Linked DNA regions of Styela clava. The main gene of each other region encodes a partner of the protein of the gene in region 2 in a complex. Links are inferred from orthologs where the notes say so. Each region holds a gene or a part of one and is shown on either strand. Other genes may lie near its edges. The genes, in order: integrator complex subunit 4-like, integrator complex subunit 9-like and integrator complex subunit 11-like.

The links.
Region 1: the proteins of integrator complex subunit 9-like (region 2) and integrator complex subunit 4-like are in contact, whole or in part, in a cryo-EM structure (PDB 7SN8), measured with the Drosophila melanogaster proteins. The link is inferred for Styela clava from reciprocal best matches to the Drosophila melanogaster genes IntS9 and IntS4. Residues at the interface, in NP_648838.3 of Drosophila melanogaster: Arg2, Arg23, Met88, Lys90, Met91, Asp93, Glu96, Asp98, Arg173, Lys176, Asp203, Leu205, Gly206, Gly500, Glu501, Ile502, Arg504, Val544, Lys545, Asp546; in NP_572488.1 of Drosophila melanogaster: Arg105, Leu108, Val112, Thr115, Asp116, Asp147, Thr148, Ser149, Lys153, Glu156, Gln193, Met196, Arg200, His231, Lys234, Gln264, Asp265, Ser266, Arg269, Tyr302.
Region 3: the proteins of integrator complex subunit 9-like (region 2) and integrator complex subunit 11-like are in contact, whole or in part, in a cryo-EM structure (PDB 7SN8), measured with the Drosophila melanogaster proteins. The link is inferred for Styela clava from reciprocal best matches to the Drosophila melanogaster genes IntS9 and IntS11. Residues at the interface, in NP_648838.3 of Drosophila melanogaster: Glu128, Tyr198, Asp199, Glu200, Lys201, His230, Asp333, Ser334, Ala337, Tyr338, Asn340, Ile341, Glu344, Gln351, Val354, Tyr355, Leu356, Pro357, Asp358, Asp359, Pro360, Arg509, Lys510, Leu511, Asp512, Arg513, Ile514, Tyr515, Ile516, Ser518; in NP_651721.1 of Drosophila melanogaster: His94, Lys97, Ala98, Pro135, Thr137, His139, Gln140, Ser141, Glu149, Lys151, Lys274, Thr277, Tyr278, Lys280, Met281, Phe282, Ile283, Thr284, Trp285, Phe294, Val295, His296, Val450, Lys451, Ile452, Pro453, Val454, Asp455, Ala456, Ser457.

What each region holds. Positions count from the first base shown.
Region 1 is NC_135259.1:15,384,713-15,393,161, forward strand, and holds integrator complex subunit 4-like, read left to right. Parts: upstream 1-4,725; 5' UTR 4,726-4,804; coding exon 4,805-4,913; intron 4,914-5,148; coding exon 5,149-7,772; intron 7,773-8,118; coding exon 8,119-8,286; 3' UTR 8,287-8,331; downstream 8,332-8,449. UniProt on the Drosophila melanogaster protein: Component of the integrator complex, a multiprotein complex that terminates RNA polymerase II (Pol II) transcription in the promoter-proximal region of genes.
Region 2 is NC_135251.1:23,510,002-23,519,112, forward strand, and holds integrator complex subunit 9-like, read left to right. Parts: upstream 1-5,583; 5' UTR 5,584-5,981; coding exon 5,982-7,946; 3' UTR 7,947-8,266; downstream 8,267-9,111. UniProt on the Drosophila melanogaster protein: Component of the integrator complex, a multiprotein complex that terminates RNA polymerase II (Pol II) transcription in the promoter-proximal region of genes.
Region 3 is NC_135252.1:16,274,931-16,282,821, forward strand, and holds integrator complex subunit 11-like, read right to left. Parts: upstream 3,173-7,891; 5' UTR 3,091-3,172; coding exon 1,216-3,090; 3' UTR 861-1,215; downstream 1-860. UniProt on the Drosophila melanogaster protein: RNA endonuclease component of the integrator complex, a multiprotein complex that terminates RNA polymerase II (Pol II) transcription in the promoter-proximal region of genes.

The DNA.
Region 1 (8,449 bases), on a different chromosome or scaffold from region 2:
AAGAATTAATTGGGAAAGTTTAAAATATAAAAAAAAAACATTTTACGCTTTCTATAATGGGTTCTTTTCTGAATTCCGAAAAATAATCGTTTTTGAAAGGGCGATTTCTCGAAAACCGCCAATAAAGTCAGCACTACGACACATTCGGAAAAAAGCAAACACCTTTTAGATTCGACTTCACTATACCATAACAGTAGCAGCACGTTTTGACTTGGCCATTTATAATACCAAACATAGCGTATATCTCAATTATTTGAATAGCGTAGATGTTCACATATTTTAAAAAGGTTTGGTATTTCAAATAAACTCACCTAATATCGTAATATTACGTTTTCTTACTTTTTCAAACACCGACACTGTGTGTTAATTAAACTTGGAATAAGATGCAAATTGTATAAAATAGTGAAAAATGTCTTAGAACCTATATATAATTTTTTTCAATTTCCCAAACATGCCGTTTTTGGAGTGACGAATTCTCGGAAAATAGCCAATAAAGGCAGCAATACGACACTTTTGGAGAATAGCAGATACGTTAAAGATTCGATTTCACCAAACCAGAACAGTAGCAGCACGTTTTGATTTGGCCATATTTAATACTAAACAAAGCATATAATTTTCAATTATATCAACTATGTAGATGTAACATATTTAAAAACGGTTAAGTATTTCAACTAAATTTACTGGATAATTCATCAAACACTTTTTTCTCTTGGTCATACATCAAAACTGTACGTTCATTAAACTTGGAATTAGTGTGCAAATCTTAAAATGCCAAAAAATGATTTGACGCCCTCTAGTGGATCCTTTTCGGAATTTCGAAAAATTATCGTTTTTGAAAGGGCGATTTCTCAAAAACCTCCAATAAAGGCAGCACTACGACACATTCCGAGAAAAGCAGATACCTTATAGATTCGATTTTAATATGTCAGAACAGTAGCAGCACGTTTTGACTTGGCCATATATAATACCAAACATAGCGTATAATTTTTAATTTTATCAACTATGTAGATGTAACATATTTGAAAACGGTTAGGTATTTCAACTTAATTTACTGGATAATTCATCAAACACTTTTTTCTCTTGGTCATACATCAAAACTGTATGTTCATTAAACTTGGAATAAGACGGCGAATCCTAAAATAACAAAAAATGATTTGACGCCCTCTTGTGTTTTTTTTTTTGAAGTTTTGAAAAAATATCGTTTTTAAAAGGGCGATTTCTCAAAAACCGCCAATAAAGGCAGCACTACAACACATTCGGAGAAAAGAAAATACCATATAGATTCCATTTCATTATGTCAGAACAACAGCAGCACGATTTTACTTGGCCATATATAATACCAAATATAACGTGTATTCACAATTTTATAAACAATGTACACGTAACATATTGTAAAAAGATTTTGTATTTTAACTAAATTTACTGGATAATTCATCAAACATCTTTTTTTTTTGAACGTACATCAATAATGAACGTTCATTAAACTTGGAATAGGTTGGAATAATATAAACTAATTTACGAGCTCTAAGTCAATATTTTCATTAAAATATAAAACCACGAATCGGTTACAAGTAATGATGGATCATTTTAGCCTGTCCCTAGTCAATCGCTGTCATTCCAGAACGCACTTTTTCATTGCAATCAAACTTAAGCTCATCGGAAGACACGATAACGATTAAAACACTTCATCCAAACCTATTTTTTTGAAACACGGCGAGAAACTTACAAATAACTTGCGAAATTGCGAAAGAAGGCAATGTTCACAACCATGCTTGAATGTCTATCTAAGAGAACAAGGTGTATCAGCGAATGTAAAAATAAATGCAAAAAAGAAGGGAAATTTACGATATGTTTGGTATTACGTATGGCAGAGTCAATCGTGCAGCTACTGTTCTAGTACAGTGAAATGGAATTCAAAATGTATTTGTTTTTTTCCGAATGTGTCGTAGTGCTGCCTTTATTGGCGGTTTTCGAGAAATCGCCCTTTTAAAAACGATATTTTTTCAAATTATGAAAAGAATCCACAAGGATGCGTAAAATAATTTTTTGTTGTTTTATACTTTCCGCAACTTATTCCAAGTTCAATTAAAGTACAGTATTGATTTAGGACCAGGAGAAAAATATATTCGATTATTTATCGAGTAAATTTAGTTGAAATACCAAACCGTTTTCAAATATGTTACGTCTGCATTGTTTATAAAAGTTTGAATACACGCTATGTTTGGTATTATATATGGCCAAGTCAAAACGTGCTGCTACAGTTCTGACATAATGGAATCAAATCTATAAGGTATATGCTTTTCTCAGAATGTGTCGTAATGCTGCCTTTATTGGCGGTTTTCAAGAATTCGTCACTCCATAAACGGTATGTTTAGGAAATTGAAAAAAATATATAATAGGGCGTAAGACATTTTATGTGGTTTTATACAATTCACAACTTATTCCAAGTTTAATTAACGTGCAGTATTGATGTATGACCAAGAGAAAAAAGTGTTTGATGAATTACCAGTAAATCTAGTTGAAATACCTAACCGTTTTTGAATATGTTACATCTACATGATTGATAAAATTAAAAATTATACGCTATGTTTGGTATTATTTATGGCCAACTCAAAACGTGCTGCTACTGTTCTGACTTTGAAATTTTGAAAATAATCCACAAAAGGACGTAAAATGCTTTTTGGTATTTTATACTTTCCGCAACTTATTCCAAGTTTAATGAACGTATGGTATATATGTATGTCCAAGAGAAAAAGATGTTTGATAAATTATCTAGAAAATTTATTTGAAATACCAAACCGTTTTTGAATAATGTTAAGTCTGCATTGTTTATAAAAGTTTGAATACACGCTATGTTTGGTATTATATATGGCCAAGTCAAAACGTGCTGCTACTGTTTTGACATAATGAAATCAAATCTATAAGGTATTTGCTTTGCTCCGAATGTGTCGTAGTGCTGCCTTTATTGGCGGTTTTTGAGAAATCGTCCTTTTCAAAAACGATAATTTTTCGAAATTCCGAAAAGAATCCACAAGAGGGCGTCAAATCATTTTTTGGCATTTTAAGATTTGCACACTAATTCCAAGTTTAATGAACGTACAGTTTTGTTGTATACCCAAGAGAAGAAAGTATTTGATGAATTTTCCAGTAAATTTAGTTGAAATACCAAACCGTTTTTAAATATGTCACATCTACAATATTTAATAAAATTGAAAGTATACGCTATGTTTGGAATTATATATGGCCAAGTCAAAACGTGCTGCTACTGTTCTGACATATTAAAATCGAATCTATAAGGTATCTGCTTTTCTCCAAATGTGTCGTAATGCTGCCTCTATTGGCGGTTTTCGAGAAATCGCTATTTCAATAACAATAATTTTTTGAAATTTTGAAAATAATCCACAAAAGGACGTAAAATGCTTTTTGGTATTTTATACTTTCCGCAACTTATTCCAAGTTTAATGAACGTACAATATATATGTATGTCCAAGAAAAAAAGATGTTTGATAATTTATCTAGTAAATTTAGTTGAAATACCAAACGTTTTTTGAATATGTTACGTCTGCATTGTTTATAACTTTTTGAATACACGCTATGTTTGGTATTATATATGGCAAAGTCAAAACATGCTGCTACTGTTCTGACATAATGAAATCAAATCTATAAGATATCTGCTTTTCTCCGAATGTGTCGTAGTGCTGCCTTTATTGGCGGTTTTTGAGAAATCGCCCTTTCAAAAACGATATTTTTTTGAAATTCCGAAAAAAATCCACAAGAGGGCGTAAAATCATTTTTTGTTATTTTTAGATTTGCCACTTATTCCAAGTTTATTGAACGTACAGTTGTGATATATGGCCAAGAGAAAAAAGTATTTGATGAATTATCCAGTAAATTTAGTTGAAATACCAAACCGTTTTTAAATATGTTACATCTACATAGTTAATAAAATTGAAAATTATATGCTATGTTTGGTATCATGTATTGCCAAGTTAAAACGTGCTGCTACTGTTCTGACATATTAAAATCGAATCTATAGGGTATATGCTTTTCTTCGAATGTGTCGTAGTGCTGCCTTTAGTGGCGGTTTTTGAGAAATCGCCCTTTCAAAAACGGTAATTTTGTGAAATTTATTAAAGAATCCACAAGAGGGCGTAATTTTTTTTCGGTATTTCAGACTTTCCTCAACTTATTCTAAGTTTAATGAAGTGCATTATTGTTGTGTGACAAAGAGAAAAATATTTTCTTTGATGAACTATCCAGTAAATTTAGTTGAAATACAAAATCAGTTTCAAATTTGTTATATATACATTGTTTTAAAAATTGAAGAATATACGCTATGTTTAGTATTATATATGGTCAAGTCAAAACGTGCTGAGACTGTTCTGACATATTGAAATCGAATCTTTGGGGTTTCTACTTTTCACCAATGGTGTTGCAATGCTGCCTTTATTGGAGGTTTTCATGAAACGACCATGTTACACGACGAAAATTCAGTCATTTTTAAACATCTCTCAAAGAATTATAAAAAAATTTTGTGCACTGTAACAGTCGCTTTAGCTTGTTTACTATATATTAACAATACGAGGAGTGTAATTAATGATTGTTTTGCTTTAATTGCTATTGTGAAACTAATCAAAATATACACTTTCTTTTAAAAATCATTGGGAACATTTATTTTCACGCGTGGGTATTTTCTGCGATTCTGTCAGTCACAATTTCGTGTTTTGCTGCTAGCTTCACAGAGGTGAAAATTTGTGGTAATCGATCTTGTTCGTTCTGAGTACGGATCGAGAGATTTGTACACATGAAAATGGCGGTTCATCTTAAAAAGAGGGCTTGTGAAGAATTCAGCCATGTTATCCAAAGCGACCTTAGCACACCAAAACGGCTACGTCTAATTAAAAAAAGTTCAAGTGAGTGTTAGGTTAAAACACTGAAAACATGTAAAATATTCCCGTATAAAATTGGATTTTTTTGTTCGGATTTTTCATATGTTTTAAATTAATTTACACATGACGGTAAAATAAATTTAATACCGTACTTCATTCCAGTGCTGGCTAATTGAATATCTATATTGATATATCACCTGTTTGTTTCAGTTCATATTGAAAAACAAACTTAACCATTAACTTCGTCATTTGTTTTTAGATTCAACAGAAAAACAGACAATTGTAAAAGTCAAAGATTCTGACAGCTCAAAAGAAAAACTTCAATCCCTTATTCAGTTCTCAAAAAAGCTTCCAATACCTCCTAATCAGGTACGGCAGAATGTTCTCGAGCTACTAAAACTTTTTGCAAATGAGAAAGATTCATCTGTTCGAACAAAGATTGCTTGGTTGATAGGGAATTTGTGTCAAACAGCAAGATTTAATGCTCTGAGCACACTGAAAAGTATTATTTCACTCCTTAAATCTGAAAAATCGAGCCAAGTATTGTCACAACTTTGGTCTGTTCTCACTAATTGCGCTAAAATTCTCCCGAATGAACGAGAACTACATGAAACCCTTGTTGAACTTGCTTGCAAAACATTGCTTAGCAAAAACCATAAAGTTCGAAGCGAGTGTCTTATACTGATCGGTAACCTCGGAAAAATTGAGAAATCGACTGAACCATGTAGGCCTAGTAGTAAAAGCAATAAAGTGAACATACAAACACTTCTTGGAGATTTCTTTGGAGATCAAGAACCAAGAGTACGATGTAGTGCATTACAAGCAATGATATTGCTCCATCAAAGAAGACAAAACTTAGAACTTCATGTGTATAATCAAGCTTGCTCAGCTCTTTCTGATGACTATGAAGCTGTGAGAGTTGCTGCTTTAAAACTTGTCTGGATAATGAGCAACATATACCCAGAAAGTGAGGTATCTGTTTCAATGTCAGATGAAAAACTACGACTTGTAGATGATGCTTTTGTAAAACTGTGTGACATGGTGAATGACAGTTCATATAAAGTCAGAGCGGCTGCTGCTGGACTTCTAGGTTCCATGCACCTAGTTAGTAATTCATTTCTTTTTCAAACTCTGGACAAAAAATTGATGTCGGATTTAAAAAAGAAAAAATCACTAAACGAAAAAGCAAAAGAGGCATATGTGGGTGAATTCTCTTCTGGTGCTAAATGGGCGGATGATGCTCCCAAAGAAGTAGATACGGAAGCTAACCAGCTTATAATTGGAGGAGCTTGTGGTGCCTTTGTTCACAGCCTCGAAGACGAAATGTTAGAAGTACGAACTGCTGCTGTTGATTCTCTTACAGAGCTTGCATGTCATCGTATCAATTCAAAATTTCCTCAAGCAGCTTTGGATTTTCTTGTTGATTGTCTTAATGATGAAATTGAAGCCGTAAGATTGAATGCAGTCAATTCTTTACATAAGATCATGCAGAATGTTGCTCTTCTTGAAGACCAATTGGAAAACGTATTAGCGGGAATGGAAGATTTCTGTGTTGAAATAAGAGAAGGAATACATTTACTGCTAAGTAATTGTACCTTGACATCAAAATTCTGTCTTAATGATACAATTATGAAGTTGCTCAAAAATCTCAATAAATATCCACAGGACCGAATGTCTATCTGGAAAGCTTATAAACACATAGGGAAGCATCATAGCCAATTGGTGTATTTGCTTGTTCCGCATTTACTATCATGCCATCCTTACTTTGATATGCCTGAACCAAAGATGGACGACCCAGGTTATATTGGCGTTCTTATTCTTGTTTTTAATGCAGCGGAATTATGTCCGAAAATGACGCAAATATTCCCAGAGCATGTTGTAAGGCATTATCAGTATCTTCGTGACAGTATACCTGATTTAGTACCGCAAGAAATTAAACTAACAACTTTTGCAAATGGAGATGAATCGTGTATGAATTCCCCACCTCGACGGTCTGAAGGTGCATCAGATCCTGCAGAATTTTTAAACAAAGCACTACAACGTGTTAAAAATCTACAACTTCATGACAGCAGGACACAAAAAAGCCTTCTCACTTGTACCATCAATGATTTGAAACACATTTCTAACATTGCGCCAAAGCTTTCATCGACTGCTACCAGCTCAGCAAATTTTTTGCAAGCACAACTACTTCTGTCAGAAATAGTTGATACCAGGGCGTGGTCTGGATCTGCATTGGCTTGCACTCAACATTTAGAATCCACAAGACCGGCTGCTAGAAAAATTGAGAGACTAACACAAGAACTAGAGCATTTGTTTCTTGGTCTGAGTACGGACGAAATTGCTCTTCTCAGGCAGATGTGCCTGAAAGCACAATCATTGGAGTTCCTAATGGATATGCAGAACCTAATGAATCAAAAAGATGTGTCAACGTCTTCTCTTTCACTGAGATGCCAGAAATTCTTTAACACTATAAAAGATGTTCATCAGTATTTGGAAACGCACAATCATATACCTGATTCATTTTCAAAAACACTTTTCAACGAAGTCTTAAAGTTGGATCCAACGAAAAAATATTCATTAGTTGTCAAGTTGCTTCAACCATTGTTATTACATTACAGTGTATCTAATGTCACTTTCTCCAACAAAGTTCGGGAGTCAAAGGTCGTAGTTCATACTCCTCTTTCTCGGACAGATTCCAGTATATCCTTTTCAGCAGGATTAACTACTGCTCTAGATGTGGATGCTACTTCAACAAATATCCCAAACCCATTGCGTGATGTGAGAATACAGATTAAATATCCAGATTCAACTGTTCAAATGGTTCTGTTAAAACCACAGGATATCAAACAAATATCTGCAATGGAGCATCGAATAATTACTAAGGTGAATTCTTTGACTAATTACTATTTACAGCATGCTAATTGTATTTAATATTCAAGGGGTGAGTAGGGACAGAATACCACATAATTCATTATAAAAATGTAATTTGTGAGCTATAAATATGATTTTTGAGTATGCAAAATCATGATTTAAGTTAGTAAATTTTCCATAGTGAAGTTATGCTTATGGCACTTTACACAATTTTGATTTTCACAGATTTATTAAGGATTTTACATGAAACACATGGCGGAATAGCTATTTAAATAAATATTGGAATCCTAAATTGGGAGATAGTAATGTGATAGTGTCTTTACATTTTTTCCGTTCACTTAAGAAATCTTAATTGCAGGTGTTTATCAGCCATCAGCAATGGACAGATGCTTGTCTTATCAAGATGCAATTTGTTAAAGTATTCAACACTGGAAGATCCCATGAAGAAGGATCTAACATTGGAATTCTCCCATTGTCAAAGACTGTTGAAATCTTGTTGCATCCTAAACCCACTATTCGTGCTTAATAATTGATGAATTTTTTACTTAATTAAAATCAGATCTTCTTGTCACTTGTCAAAGCTTTGTATAGAAAATTTTCAGTGCTTCAGAAGTATGTGTCAATAAGGAAGTAACTAATTTAGTTCGCCTATGTTACATCAAGTTGTGTAAGCGACTGAAACCTATTGG
Region 2 (9,111 bases):
TGTGAATCGTCCCCCTAATACTACTATCAATATATTTTTCACACATCGAAATTACTTCGTACTGCAGCCCAGTCAGGTAATTTAGCAAATTACATATCTCAGAAATGTACGGCACAAGAATCTCGTTCCTCATAATATTTTTAGTGCAGGTTTTCACGCTGAGTTCAAGACGTCAAGTTCTGATGGATCAAAATATTAAATTCGTTTATTGCTTCAATATTTACCAATTGACACATTACAATGTTTTTCATGAGAATCAACGTCAATAAAACGTAATATCAAAAACAGTATTAACGATGTGACGAAGTTTCGATATCATACTTCCAGGATCGACTCCTGTTGTTTATGACTATAAAGATGGTATGTGTAAAATTTCCCTAGCATGGTTGATGACGCAAAGGATAAAAATCTAGACCAAAAGGCAATGCAATAAATTTAAAGAATATAAAACTGAAAAAAGAATTAAAAATGTCACTTATACACTAGGCCAACTTATTAAAATCGATAGGGTCGGTAACACGATATAAATACACGGCCAAACCATTTTTGTACTTACACGGCAGTGTGTTTGACATCTCCAGTGTTCGCTGGATTTTGTTAAAGTGTGCTCGGCGATTTGGCGCATCGTGCTAGGCGTTAGGAATACGCTCACCATCCAACCTCTGATTACTACGCGTGGGTTCACAGGTTCGAATTCCATGCGGGGATAGTGATGTGCGAGAGTATAGCTGCTCCTCGCCGTCGTAGGGTGGTTCACGTAACCGCTGGTCAGTTACAGCTTTCTCCACCATCAAGTTCATGCTTCCTAAAACAAGTAACTGTCTACCTAACTAATCCATACCCGGCATGGACCGCTAACTGGAGGAGAGGCCATACCATTGCACACTTTGCATTTTGTTAGTGTGTGATATGATAAGTGAATTATAACTATATAATTATATATATAAATTTATATAAGTGGAAAGTAGATGTAATATGTTATTTGAGCATCATTCATCGGTTGTTGCTTCTGCATGTCATGAGCGCGCTAATTTACATGCATAATCAGGTAAAGACGATTTATGACGTTATAATATCCGACGACAACAGCTTGTTGTGTAACATCAATGATAGTGTCCACTTTCTTTGTCAAACTATAGCCAGGCCATCACGACAAACTAATCATGATAAATTTGCTTGTGAACTATCATCACGCGTCTGTCCAAAATTTAATATCTTCAAACAAGTAATTGTGAAATTGCCTATAATTTTGATATTATAGCTAAAACGCCCATATTTTCAGAATACTTCATGAATTCTTGCTCATGGTATCGTTTGGAGACAAAATGAATGCTTGTTCGAGGCCATGTTTGGAGACAAACAAATGCTTTTCCAACGTCCTAATTGTTTGAAGATAGCACAGAATGCTTGTCTATTGCTTTCAACGAAGGAAGCACGAATGCTTGGAGGCTTGCCTTAATTGGTAACAACATGATTGCTTGTCTAAGGCCTTGTTCGGAGACTACCCTATTGTGGGCTTTGCTGTCAATTGTGACAAATATGGGGAGTTTTGTCCCGAGCTTCTCACGTTATACACTGACCGCTGTATGAACAAAGAATCTTTCCTGAGTACGCTCCCTGTCAAATCACGGCCCTTTCTTCGAAGGTTAGCTGGGTAAGTGGCAGGGTTTGTCTCCTGTGCAGTCCCGACGTCCTGTAGCAATGACTGCGGTCTTTGTGCACGGTTTTGTGAGGTGCAAAATATTTTCGACCGCTTATTAGAACGCTAACAGATGTCCTGTCGATTTGGAAGTATAGTTGTCAACTCTAATGGTTGTACAAGCTAAAAACGATAGGCCAGGAAATATGTAACCGGATACTTGTGGCGGCACCAAATTGAATCTGTTTAATACTGACATAGGCAAACGACGGCCTGCCTGCCGAATTTGGCCCGTTGAGTGATTCAATCCGCCTGGTGCTCTCATAAACTTCTGCTTTCATTCAATTCTGCCTGCGCTACATTCTTACCATGTAATTTATTAGTCTATCTTTTCCCGAAGGTTTTTAATAGCCTTTTTCTTCATCCCTTTTCTGCAGCCTTATCCGTGTAAATTGATAGCTGAATCAATAAAATCTAATGTTTGCCCACACGAGTTAGTGAACAGATGTTCAGTCTGATTAATTACAACAAATCTAAACAAAATTATCAATAGATACTCACCTTAAAACTGTTTTGACAAATGCCACAACCAAATTTTGATGTTTTAGCTAAAAATAAATTCAAGGAATTTGTTGAGATTGCGATTAGATTTAGTTGTTACACGAGGCTTATTGTTTTCCACTTTTGCCTTTGTAGCACTGTAAATAAAATTCCGTTCATTAAATATAACTTTTATACGTCACACTTACATGGCCCGCCGGTTCAATGGGCAAAATTTTTGTCCCCTTATCTAAAACCTTGCCCACCCGTAGTCTAATAAAATCTTGTGGCGGCGAATGTGGTATAGTATGGTACACAACACAAGGAACGCGTGAGTGTGACCAGTGTTCTTAATGTACAGTAATAATATAACGATTGTCTTACAACTTGCTGGAAACCATTTAGACCAGCGATTCCCAAAGTGGGCGAAACGCTCCCTTGTGTTCGTTTGCAATAACTTGGGGGGCGCTGATGGCGATTTAGACAATTGAGGGGCGCTGGATGTCAAACAGGGCGATTCGGGGCGCTGACATCAATAGGGGAACTCACAAAAAGGGTGATATTATATATAATTTACTATGCTATGGTTCAAACTAGTTTGCTTGTGATTTCGGTGTTGGAAATTTCTCGCTTTACGTAGAATATTAAATCCGTATTGTTTCGTAATAATACTAGTCTACCGCTACGGCATACCGGTACGCTTTCTTCACCATGCACTGCGCGTTTCGTTGTACTGTTTTGAATAACAGCTTCATTTTACTATCGGGTACTAGGCAAGGGTGGGATTCAAACTTTTTGTCAGCCGGTTCCTGCACAAAAGACATATTTTTCAGCCGGTTCTGTTACAAACAGAACATTGACAGTAACCAGTAATGCTAACCGGTTCGCTGATCTCATAAAATTCCGTGAGACGGTTCTATAGAACCGGCTGAATCACATCACTGGTTCTATGGTGTTTTGAAGCGGTAGTGTAAGTACAACACCCTTATGTTATAATTTTGGGTTTGTTAGGAGCAAGACGTGAGAGCTGAGCATCAGATACCGGTAGGACCGTCTCGTCCGTCTCCATGTTGCGACTTAACTGGTTCATTTTTATTTGTTGAGTCATTGAATAATAAGGTTACATAATTAATACATAAATTGACAAACGGTAAAGATCTAGCTTGCTGTTAAATCATGTTGTGCTTGACATTGTTTATTGTCGGTTTATCATTTGTGTTGCGTAAGTTCAAAATAACGAATATAGTGATTTAAGCAGCATATTTAACTGATTTATATCAAAAACAGTATTATACATCTGTACATCGTGGTCCCAAAAAAAAACGGTACCATCTATTTCTCAATTACTTCTACGAAAATGGAGTGAATTATTCAAATTTGTCTACACTTGAACTACTGTTTGTACCCAAAAGTGTCGGAAAATCTAGGGCGTTTTGCACAAAAATTATGTTGTTTCTAGAATATGTTTCAAATGCCCTCCTCGGCATTGAAATAAGAATTGCATTCTTTTTGCAACATTGTCAATCACTCTACTTTGGGTATCTCTCTATTTATTTCTGCTATTGAAGCCTTGAGTTAACCACTCGTTTGAGGATTGTCCTGATACAAATTGTCCCTCGACAAATATTAAAACATATCAAAATCTGAGAGGTTTCAGTCCGATAATTAAGATGCCCACTGTATGTCATTGCTGACTTCTCTCTCAGGAAAGCAAGCGTCTGATTTGATGTATAGGACGTCGCCTCGTTATGTTGGAAACACTGCTGGTCACCTCCATCAATCCCTCAAGTGATGTCCCAGAGTTTTCTCGGTACAACCACGTAATGTTCTGTATTCACCGTTTGAACGCTTTAATTTCCATTGCATGTCCTGCGCTTCAGCAGAAAACTGAGTGGTTGAAAATTTTGCGAAACATCTGAGAAAATCATACGCAAACAGAAGTTCAAGCGCAAATAAAATTAAATAATTTTTTTGGAGATAGAAATTTTTGGTTTACATTTTCTAGATAACTCTGAATTTCCAGAAGCGAACATGCACCACTACCATTGGATTTATACTTTCAAATCCATGTTCAGTCTTTCAGTATTCCATCTTTTTTGGAACAGAATCAAATTTAAATATCCTCATGTGTGCGATCGGGTTGAAAGTTTTTTTATTGCTCTTGCCAGCTCATTCCTGGTAGAGCGTGTATTTATTGCAGTGACCGCACTTTTACATATCAAGAGAGCTTCCCTCGACAGTGTCAGGCGAGGAGACATAAGACTTTATTTAACTGAAATGATGCTAGATAATATCAATCTAGTGGCATTTCACTAGGCTCAACCTTCACATTATATATACTAATGATAAATGGAGAATAAAGTTGCTTTGACTTTTTTGTCAGAGGGGCGTTTGCTAGTTAAAAAGTTAACATGGGGCGCGGGTAAAAAATAGTTTGGGAAACACTGATTTAGACAGAAGCGCAAAGTTTTCGTACTTTGGTTCAGGGGAACATGTTCTAAAATTTTGATACCAGTATCCAACCAATTTTTCCAAACTTTTGTGTGTTCATTGTTTTGTATAACTTACGGTCAGCCGGAATATTTTTTTTCGGGGAAATCAAAGTAAACTTATACCGGTACAGTACTGCAATATCAGACTATGCAGGATTGCAGGGACTATTTTTTCGCAAAAGTTAATTTTGTAATGTACTAATGCTGTAATGACGTGCAGATTGAATGACTAGCCACAGGTGATAATTCTGAAATTATTAGGACATTGCACATTTTGAAGTGTTGATGTTTGGCAGTGCACAGATGTCAGGATGTACTGATGTAAGTGGGACACTCGCTGTACCACACGGTTCTGGGGTTACGGTAGGTTGTTCAGCTTAATCATAGGCTTACCATACGTCCCGGTTTAGCCGGGACAGTCCCGGTTTTATCGTGTTTTTCCACCGTCCCGGCGATAGACTCAAATGTCCCGGTTTTGCAGTATGACAGTCATAAATAATTTTTCTATTTGATACTATTACAAAATTGCTTTTTTTTCAACGGACGCAGCCGATTTACCACTGATTTGCGTCTCACTCACTAGTTCAGATAGAGAGAAAATTGTTATGACATGACGTATGAACCATGCGTTAATATAACGCCCAAGTGTACTGTCGTTGAATCATCAAAATGTCGAAAACAAAGTGCAAGTTTTCTAATGAGTTGAACAATTTTCCGAAGACCAATAGAGGATTTTTCAATATAATTCACAGCTAATTTTGGTCCCTATAATAAGCCCACAATGGTATGGTAAACATTCAGAGTATTACTAAACCCCTAGAATCAAACCAAAGTTGGCTTGTCCTATCCGCTTCGTCCCGGTTTTTTGTTTCAGAAATATGGTAAGCCTACTTAATCATATGGCGAACCACGACCTCACGTATTGATAACGCTCAGCAATTTCTGACGATAAGCCACACTGCCAAGCCATAGTTTGAGTGTTGACTGAAATCAGAAAATAGACCAAGCATGAACACAAAATTAACCTGTACAATACAGCAGTACGAGTATGCTTTTATGGTACCATACTGTAACCAAATGATTGAATGAAGTTGTTTCCAATTGTTACATTTTACCTAAACTGCCTAAAGTGTTCCTTTTCTTCTTGTCACCAATTGTTACATTTTACCTAAACTGCCTAAAGTGTTCCTTTTCTTCTTGTCAAGTAGCTATCACACTACACAAATAGGTCAATCGGACCATTGAATTAAAATAATACTGTGATAATTTATACACAAATTGGTGATATTGGCTGTGAACTGAATGCTATAATGCGGGTTTATAATCTATCACCAAGTGATACATGCCCATGCATTGTGCTGAAGTTCAAGTCTTGCACTATTATGCTCGACTGCTCCTTGGATTTATTATCTTCTCTGAAGTTTTTACCTTGTGGATCTACTGAGAGAACCAGTGGAAAGCATTTGTCAAAATGGGTGCTACGAGACTCGGATGGGCAAGTTATTACTGATAATGAACTGAAAGAATGCTCGGGTTCAGTGTTTGTTGACAGTAGCCCTGAGTTTTGTATTCCTGAAATTGATCTTTTGGACCTGTCAACAGTTGATGTCATTTTAGTTTCAAATTACTTCAATATGCTTGCTGTACCATACCTAACTGAATATTGCGGATTTCAAGGTGCTGTATATGCAACGGATCCTTCACACCAAATCGGACGTTTGTTCATGAAAGAAATGGTGCAATACTGTCATCGATTATCACCAACGTCCCAAGCAACAAAATGGAAAAATGAGGATTTAGAAAACAACCTACCTACATCATTGAGAGATGTTTGGAATAACGATGTTCTTTCATGGAGACAGTGTTACAATGAAAATGATTTACACAATGCACTTTCAAGGGTGCATGTTGTTGGTTATGCAGAAAAAATCAGCATATTTGGAAGTTTAACAATAAGCGCGTACAGTTCTGGATTTGCGATTGGAAGCTGTAACTGGTGTATAAATTCAGACTATGAAAAGATAGTATACATGTCTGATAGCTCGTCTTTAACAACACATCCGCAGCCGATGGATATTACACCATTGAGGAACAGTGATGCTTTAATATTTACTGGATTAAGTAGAATGCCCACAAATAATCCAGATAATATGATAAGTGAATTTTGTAGTTGTTTAGCTGTAACGCTGAAAGCTGGTGGTAATGTCTTGGTTCCATGTTTTCCATCTGGTCTTGTTTATGATTTACTTGAATGCCTTCTTGCTTATTTAGACCAAGCTGGTTTAACAAACATTCCAATATATTTTATATCACCTGTCGCTAAAGACTCATTGGCATTTTCACAGGTTTATTCTGAATGGCTTCATCCAAACAAGCAAAATAAAGTATACTTACCTGAACCACCATTTCCACATGATGAACTGATTGCAATGGGCAAACTTAAGGTTTTTTCTAGTATCCATGAAGGTCTGTCTGCATCTTTCAAAAAGCCATGTATTGTCTTTGCTGGCCATCCATCACTACGATTTGGCGATGCTGTACATTTTATAGAAATGTGGAAAAATTCAGCAACTAACTCTGTCATATTTGTTGAACCAAATTTTCCATATCTAGAAGTTTTGGCTCCATTTCAACCCCTCCAAATGAAAGCGTATCATTTTGAAATTGATACTCGAACAAATCCATCGGCAGCAAATTTAATATTAAATGATTTAAAAGCAAAACATGTTATTGTGCCGACAAGTTATACAAAACCACCTGTTTTGCATCCCCATAGAACTGATCTCTGTCTTCAGTTGAACCAACCTCTGCTTTGCATGGACAGAAAATCAGTTTTACCAATTGATGTCAAAAGACAATTTGAAAAGGTTCAGCTTTCTGCTGATTTGTCAGCGACATTATTACCTGCTGAAGTTAGACCTGGAGTAATGCTTGCCGCATTATCAGGTGAACTTGTAGTCAAAGACAATAAGCATAAGTTAAAACTAGTCACCAAGCCAACTCCAGGAAGCAAAAAAAGAAAATTTCAGGAAGTAAGTGCTTTACACCGACCTCTTATGTGGGGAAAACTTCATGTTGATAATCTGCTTGACAATTTGATTAAAGAAGGCTACACAAATGCTAAAGTGGAGGATACATCTTCTGGTCATATGATTCTTCTTCGAGACACAATTATTCAAATTGACGAAGATTCAACTCATATTGTGTGCGAAGGAAATGAATCGTTGAGAATAAAATTGAGGGATATTTTACTAAGAAGCTTGTCTGGATTGTGAATCAAAAATAAAAATAATTTTACACGATTGTAATTTTTAAAAAGTATTTTATGTTTCTGCATTTTGTGCCAGCAGTCATCCATTTCAGCACATCTTACTAAATTGTTTAAGAAAAGGCCAACTTCATCTCAATATTTGCTTAAACCAAATCGCTGATTCAGTACCATTCTGCTGGTATTTATGATGGGACAGGAAGTGGAAATGAATAGTGTTGCTAAATTCTTGTTGTTGTTCTGGAATAAAAGGCCCTTTTCCACAATCTAATGAGAAATCCATTTTAAATTTTCAGTTTTTCAAAACATCGAATATGTGAAATTTTATTTTGAAATATCTCTATGGCAGGGGTCGGGAACCTATGGCTCCTTTAGTGACGGCATATGGCTCCCAGAAGAATCTAATATTCTTATGCTATGCTTACTATTGTTACGAGATTTCGAACTCTTTTATAGCCACATTTGGCAGAAAAATTGCCAATACGTTTGAAACGGCGCTTCCAGCGCATGTCTATGTTATGTAAGAGAATCACCAGATAGGCATTTTGACGAAACTAGGGGATTCTGGAACATATTTTGTGACCTCACAAAGCGATAGAGTTGCGGAGCAATAGAGAAAGCTTTTTGTACGTACTGGTTGTACAGTATTTGTCATATACAGATCGGACTAGTAAAGCTAGTGTTTTAAAATACTACGGAGATGCCTGAACGAAAGAAGGGAGATGAGTATCGTAGATTTCAACTTGTGCTGCATGTGAACAGCCGTTCAAGGCATGCAGCATCAGAAGTCACATTAAATGTATATTGACATATATGTGTTGACTTTTGAGTAAAAATTTCAGGCCTGATTAAGTTAAGAAATGCATTTATGGTTCGCACGGAAATGCAATTGAAAATATATGTACTTTTTATGGCTCTCTTAACCAAAAAGGTTCCTGACCCCCTGCTCTATGGGGTCCTGATGGGACCGATATTTCAACAAAAATAAAAGATGGAACACTCTTTACTCCGACTGCCACTTTCCGATCTCTTCAAACTCAGTGCCAGTACCATCGAGGTGTAAAGACCTTAATGGCCGGTACCGATGCTCTACATTCGTTCTCTTTTAAGAACCGGTGTCTTATTCTATAACAACCAGTGTACGGTATATTAGAGAATCTCGGGTAGATAAT
Region 3 (7,891 bases), on a different chromosome or scaffold from region 2:
ACTAATATGTTACTATGTTTCTTGCATTAATTCGCGCGCGAGTTGGCGGGTCACCTGCTGGTTTAAAACCATTAATATCTTGCATAGTTGGCCTGTGTGGATTACCCCAATTATGTTTCATTCAGAAAATTGCGTACAACATTTTATTGATCCTTCACATGTTTCATCTAAAGAGGCTTCTGGCACACGTGAGAGGATTGGATCGAAGGAGTTTCATTGTTTCGGGAGGATATTTTGCTTTGTATATGAATGAACGTGAGAGGACTGGATCGGAGGAGTTTTAATGTTTCGGGAAAATATTTTGCCTCGTATATGAGTGAAACGTGAGAGGATTGGATAGAAAACTTTCATTGTTTCGAGACATTTTGCTTTGTATATAATAGGTACCGTATAAGTTTATTTCGACTGCGTAATCAGCATAACAGACGATAAAATAGTAGATAAAACAAATAAATAATGCGGGTATCGCTGCAAACATTTGACTTATTTAGTATTATCGCAATGCAATTGCGGACACATTATGATCATCTATTCTTAAGAGTGTTACTTGCGCGTAACAGAAGCTGATGAGCATGAAAATAGGCCAAAGGATTTATGCATCGAAAAAGGTCGAGAACCGCTGCCTATTTTATCTCGGAGATCAGTGATTCTTTGTTTAGCATAAAAAGATTTTCCAGTACTTGGACATTTTCGGCGCATGAGATAGAACCAAAATAAAGTGACATAAAACTTGGTACCGGTACTGATATTATTAAATCACAGGATATCCAATCAGTTCTTTAATATGCTCCCAACCAACTCCAAGCTTGCCCCAGAAAGTTTTAAAGGATGAACACTTGAAAGATTTGACAACCCATTATTGTGTTTATTATATTGATAAAAAAGAAAGTAACAAATGCACGGAATATGCACAAAGCAGTGTGTACACAAGATGTAGCAGGGTTAATAGAGTAAGCTTTCTAAACCTATAAAACAATTGTGCTCAACAGATTCTGCATTATGGCGCAACTGCCTCATTCAAGTTTAGCTTTGACTAGAGTACTAGCCAGATGTATGTGTAAACTGTAAATACTTCTTGAGATGCACAAAACTGGTGAAATAATGGACCTGATTTTAAGAAAAACTCGGATTATGCAAGTTCTCTAGTATTTGAAATTATATCAATATGGCCATATGATTTTGGTCTTGATTTAGTGAAAAGATTGAACAAGTACGTCAGTGAACAGGAAGTTTTGTCACTGATTTTGGCAAACCATTTTTCAAAACCTCCATTAAATAACTTCCCAAATCCTCATCTTGATATGGCCATGAAACCAATATTGATTTACTTGCTGGACTGTCATCTTCATGGGTATTAAAATCATCCGACACATCCATAGCTGTTTCTGAATCTTTTTGAACTTTAAGTAAAACTGATTCAATCAATATATGTCCATCTGATGTGGTATTAACAGAATGTGACCTCAACAACTGCTTTAAATGTTCATATAATCGAGTCATTGTTAGTTTTTCAGAACGGCAAGCATTTTGTAATTCCACTGTTGATGTGAATCGTAAATCATGTTTTGGCAGTCCAAGTTCTTGTAATGCTTCATCTTGTTCTAAAAGTCTTATTTTATTGTCTTTCATTAGCAACGCTCCATGTATAATTTTAGAACATTTTGGGTTCGGAGTTGCAGTATCAACAATTTCAGTTTTGTGTTTGAGGAGTTTTAAAGACATGTCAACTGGTACACATGGCTTTGATGAGATGACACAGGTCTCCCCATTTGCTGGATTAAAGCACTCCAATCCTAATTCATGATTTATTTTTGCTTTTAAAAATTCCATTTTCTTTGCTTCACCATGAACCAACAACACATGCTCTGGTTCACACATACGAGTTAGCTGCATTATCCCTTTAGCATCAGCGTGTGCACTAAACGACATATATTGTACCTGCATTTTGATTTCAACCACCTTACCAGGTTGCAACTCGATTTTCCTCATACCAGAAAGGATTTTGTGGCCTACAGTACCTGCAACACAATAACCAGGCATTATGATGGTATTTTTGTCACTAGTACACCATTTTTTAAAAATTTCAAGAGACAATCCACTATGGAGCATTCCCGGGGTTGCAAAAACAACCATGGGACCTGGATTTTCAATGAGTGTTCTGTTGAATGGCTTGATATGTTTGAAATCGAACAAGTTTCTATCCACAAAAGTACTTTTTATCTTTTGATTTGTCCAAGTTATGAAAAGCTTGTAATAATTTGTTGCTTTTTCAGTTAAACCTGTTGAAAAATATATTGGAACTCTCAAATTCATGCGATCCCAGTATGACTCTAGTAAAATACAAAGTTCTTGTGCTCTTCCAAGAGCAAAAACAGGGATCAATACTTTTCCACCCTTATCAATTGTTTCATGCACTTTCTTCAGAAAATCCCTTTCTCGACATCGTTTCGAATCTCGTATAGTTGTTGCATACGTTGATTCAGTAATAAGCAGGGTTGGCCGGCATTTATCTACCCATGCTGCTCCAAGATGCCTATCAGGGGTCATATTATAATCTCCTGTGTATAAAACAGATTCAGTTCCAGCACGAATGTAGAACATTCCTGCTCCTAATACATGCCCTGCATAATACGCCTTAATCTGGAGTTCTTCGTCAACATATATGGTTTGATGCAGATTTGCCGTAACTACCTTTTTCATACAATCTTTGATCATTTGTGAGGTGAAAAAATTAACTTCACCTTTTTTATCAACAGTTATTTTTCTGTAGTCTTCCAAAAGGATTGGAGCTATTGCTTTTGTAGGATGGGTCATGTAGATTGGTCCATCATAGCCAACCATTTCAGACATGTATGGTAATGCACCACAGTGGTCCAAATGAAAATGGCTTATAATAACGCAGTCAATATACTCGGTTAATCGTCCCTTTCCACCAGTGACATATGAAAAGTCAGGAAACCTTCGATCATCGTTAAATCCCATGTGCATTCCACAATCTAACATCACATTTTTTCCACCAAGGGATATCAATATGCAACTGCGGCCAACATCCTGGCCTGCACCAAGGGGTACAACTTTTATGTCAGGCATTACTGCGTTACCAATTCAGCAATTATCAAAAGGCATATCTAAATGTATTAAACCATAGGATAGCTGCCAAATTTAAAACGTTGATATGTTAGGTCTGTAGGTGCTATAACTAACTGTACAAGTCTGCAAGTGGACTTGATGGCTTCCTCCACCATCAAGGTTGTGGTTTGCCATATGATTGAGGCATATTATGGGCTCACAGAAATACAAACTTTTTTCAAGTTGTTAAATTAATAAGTTCAGAAGTTAGCACTTCCATACAACTAGACTACGAAATTAAAATACAAAAATGAAAAAAACTATTGAAGTGATAAGTATAAGTATGGGTTTATTTCGACTCCATAATCAGCAAAACAATAAAATGAGTGCTAAAAATAAATAAATAAAAACTGATTATGAAATCAGGAGAGCGAACAACACCTTAGATAAGGTTTAAAACGTACAGAATGTATATAAGATGGAAGGTTTTGCCAAGAAGATGTGGTACGTGTTCACTCACCTAAAATAATTGAAATATTTCACACACGCTTACACGCAACCATATAGAAGTTATTAAGTAAAGGGAACATGAAAAATTACATACTGGTAGTTAATAAAAAATAAATAAATAAAAATTACTTGCCACACCATATTAATAAATTTATCATGATTGCCACTGCCAAATTGATCAATTTTATAAATGGGAGTGAACAGTAAAGATAAACTTTTATAAAAAAATATATTGTCAAGCTGATTATAGATGGAGTCAAATGCCAAAATGCCCAACCAAAGTTGCCAGAATTGGGTGCATGAAGAGGTGGGCTAGACCACTTCATTGCCCAAACTAGAGCCTATTATTGCCAAAAATAATTTTGAAAATGAAATTTTTTTAACTGAATGGGTTGGGGAACTGGGACTAATTTTTGGATGGCGTATTCAGGTGGGGGTTAGGATTGATACGAAAAAAAAAATTCGTATGCTACGCCCTCTAGAAGTACGTTAGGCACGAAACTACATTAGACTCCGACCGAACTTGGCCTACCAATATGATGTGAATTGGATTCACCCGTTCCTTCAATGGATGTCTGTTCGACCTTTGACACCCAAATTTTAGTAGATTTTGGCAAATTTTTGGTATACCTTTTCTCGAGATGGCGCTTGCAAACTTAGAATACTATTCACATATTTATCCTGCGGGAGAGAAAAACCGATTAAACGGCCTAATCATATGATCCTCGACGGCCTCCACGGGTACTAGTCCAGGGTATGAAATTAGTTAGTTTAGCGGTTCCCAACATTTTGTTCATGCAACGCCAAATTATCAGGGAAAACCTGAGAAAAAAATTGCTACTTTCAAATAAAATTCAATTTTGTGATCATCGTTGTGTATTTTATGTCTTTTAAAGTTTGTAAACATGTAGTCCATGTATGACTTCAGCAGCATTCAAAATCCCAATATATGCTTTGGAAAAAATCTTCGATAAGTTCTTTACACTTCACTCTTAGTCTTTTTCTTACAAAGAGAGAGAGATTTATTGTTTCGTCAACCAGAAAACAAGCATTGGTACAACAAAATATGCAAGTTAATTCGGTATGGACTGGTGGAAGCGATGCGCACTTAGGGTCATCAGAGTCAGCTCCCCCAAAATTCACCATTAAGATTCACAGTTAAAAGCGGTTAAAGCGTAGTAGTATATATTCACGGTTAAATCAAACGCTAGTATACCCTAGCCCAGCGTTTCCCAAACTGTGTTCCGCGGAACACTAGTGTTCCGCGACGCGAGGGTCTTCCGAGTGTTCCGCGACGCGAGGGTCTTCCGAGTGTTCCGCGGAAAAGCGATACAAATTACGACTAAATTGGTCGCCATAGCGATCACAGGATCCTGAAGAAGCCGTTCAATATCGCGTCACCGCCGGCCTGAAGCGGACTAACGTTTTAAGGGGAGAGCCATTTTCGTGAACCGTCGGCCTAGCTTTTTGATTGTCAAGTTCATTATCAAATTTACAGCAATCTTTTTGGTTTTGCTATAGGTAAACATGTAAGCTTAAAGAATAAAGGCAAAAGGGTCAAATGTTCCTTCTCCCTCTCTGCCTGGTTTTACTTTGAAATGCTCATATTAAACAAGATAGCTATGCTCAAATATATGGACACGTAGCGCCACCCAATGGCAATAACTTTGATGACGTCATAGCAAAAAAAAAAGTAATAGCCTTCTGGAGAAAAATTTTATCTTCAACCACTGAAAATTTCAAAGCAATTGGTCCAGTATTCGAAGAGAAAAGCGACTTTTTAAAAACGTGTCAAAGAACAACATCAACATAATATTGAAACGATCGTTATGTCCACTACGTGTCCAATAACTGATTTATTGATTAATATATTTTTAAAATAGGAAAAAATAAACATTTATGGTAAATGCTATGTTAAATATTCAATCATACTGTATTAATGTTTAATACAATTCTGTTAGTTTTCGCGGCGCATTTAGCAACACTAGTTCTCCTGGCGCAACCTTTGGGAACCGCTGCCTTACACCATTTTTCTTTATCAATTTTACACTTTCATTTTTCGGTGTTCCGCGAGACGAGATGAAAAGTGTGAGTGTTCCGTGGCCGAAAAAGTTTGGGAAACGCTGCCCTAGCCTACCATACGGTGCTAATTTTGGAAGTTTTATAAATTTGCGAAAGTAGTGGGTTAATAATATGGTCAACGTATCAGTCAAAAGCGAACAAAAACGACCACAAAACATTAGCCAAGATGTCTTATCGGAATCGCTCCCCCATTTACCTGTATTTGGCCTTATTTTATTGCCTTAAGTATTTTGCGTAGCGATCTCAATATCATTGCATGGCCTGGTTCCGTAGTTCCAGAGCCGTGCATATAAATATAACTAAAGAGCGCTCCATAAGTGCGTGTACCAATATGGAGGTAACTAATATTGTTCGCCTACTCTATAGACTTTATAGACTATAGGTTATTGCATTTTTATTATATAAGGCAAAAACAATTGTTTCCACTTATATCTATTGTATAATCGCCTAAACCAGGGGTTCTCAAACTTTTGGTGTTGCGGAGCCCCTGAAAAGGTTGACTATTATTCGCGGAGCCCCAAAAGAAATGTTAAAATTGTAGCTTTCCGATAAATATTCCTGAGTAAGTTAAAAGTACTTAACTTAAATTAAATGCTAAACCTTTTTAATGGGGTTAATGCAAGTCATAAATAAATCGAAATTTCAAAGATAAATTATATATACTCTTACTAAAGCTGTAAATTTGACACTTGACAAACATATTAATAAACTAGGGGTCGAATCTTTTCCCTTTTGACATTTTCGGAAGACTTAAAAAGGCCCGTAATAACGTGCGCGATTGCATTTTGTTACAATCACCGATAGTTTTTGTCAGCATGGCATGTTTTTAAACATCTTTACGCCGGTGTTTATTCTCCCTAAATCAAAAATTTTCTTCGCCATATACATGTATTTTTCCACAATGACGACGATAATTGCTTTTTTGTTCTCGTGGGGAATTATGAGTTCAATGTGAAAAACGCTTTTATAGGCATTGTAAATCACAAAATTTGGTGTAATGTTAGGTTTTCTTTTGGGTATTCATCGTATAGTAACTGCGAAATCGAAACACAGTCAATTGTGTGCGCGATTTACCTTTTTTTATTCTGAAACTACCGACGGAGCCGCATGCATTTGAAATAAATTTCAATCGTATTTTGCCCAGATCTTGTGATTTTTTAAACGGCGATATCTTGCTTAATAATAATCTCGAGTGCAAAAGAACAAATCAAGTTTGACAAATTCCAAGATCGCAAAAATACGACTCCAATTTATTTATAGTTGGCAGTTTATCACGTCTTTTATGTTATTTTAGAATAGTATTCTTTCATTTTAGTAATCCTAATAGTAATCTCGAATGAAACTTGAGTAACTATGAGTACAATTGAATTATTACGACAAGACACTTTAAATGCTCGCATCGGCCATGCATTGAATATTTTACGCAACAGAAATCTCGTTATCCGTTTTTTATAATCGCAAAGAATGTTGCGCGCAAATCCCCACCTCTTGAGAATCCTGGCTGCGCTCCAGCTTATAAATAATGTCATTTTTTAATTCCGCCTCTTTGCCATATTTCGAGGCTATATTGTTGTCAAATTTTATCAAAGCTGTTATTGCTTCTTTGAACAGCTACAAAACTAGTCATTATTTTGAAAAGTAATCGAATAGCTCGCGGAGCCCCTGGGTTTCTCTCGCGGAGCCCTGGGGCTCCGTACGGAGCACTTTGAGAACCTATGGCCTAAACAACCAAACTTTTTCAAAAACGAGATCCACATCAGACTATAAATTTCCAACGTGAGTATAATCGTGTTTCAATACCCACAAAAGGTCGCATATAGATCCATATGTAGCGCACTGGGTAGTAAAATAGACGAAAAGCTGGCCAAAACCTGAAACTTTGGAAGCATAAACGCAAAGATGGCGACGATCAAATTGCCCCGCGCTGCGACATCGCAACACCAGAGAGAAGATCGTTCCATGTATTTCCAATTCAGTGGCTCAAGCGCGTATCTTCTGATCCGTTTGACCATATATACGGTTTGACACACGAAAAAATTATTTTTAATACCGTATGTATATAAGTTGATAATACGATACAAATTCAAAGAATTCGGGCGTTGATTCGTGAGAAAGAAAAGTATATATACGCGAATTGTTGAATTCGGGCGGTGAAGCTTGAAAAATAAAAATACACGAGCGTGAACTCGGGCGTTAAACTTGGACGAGTTGAAGTTGAGTTGGTCCTGTC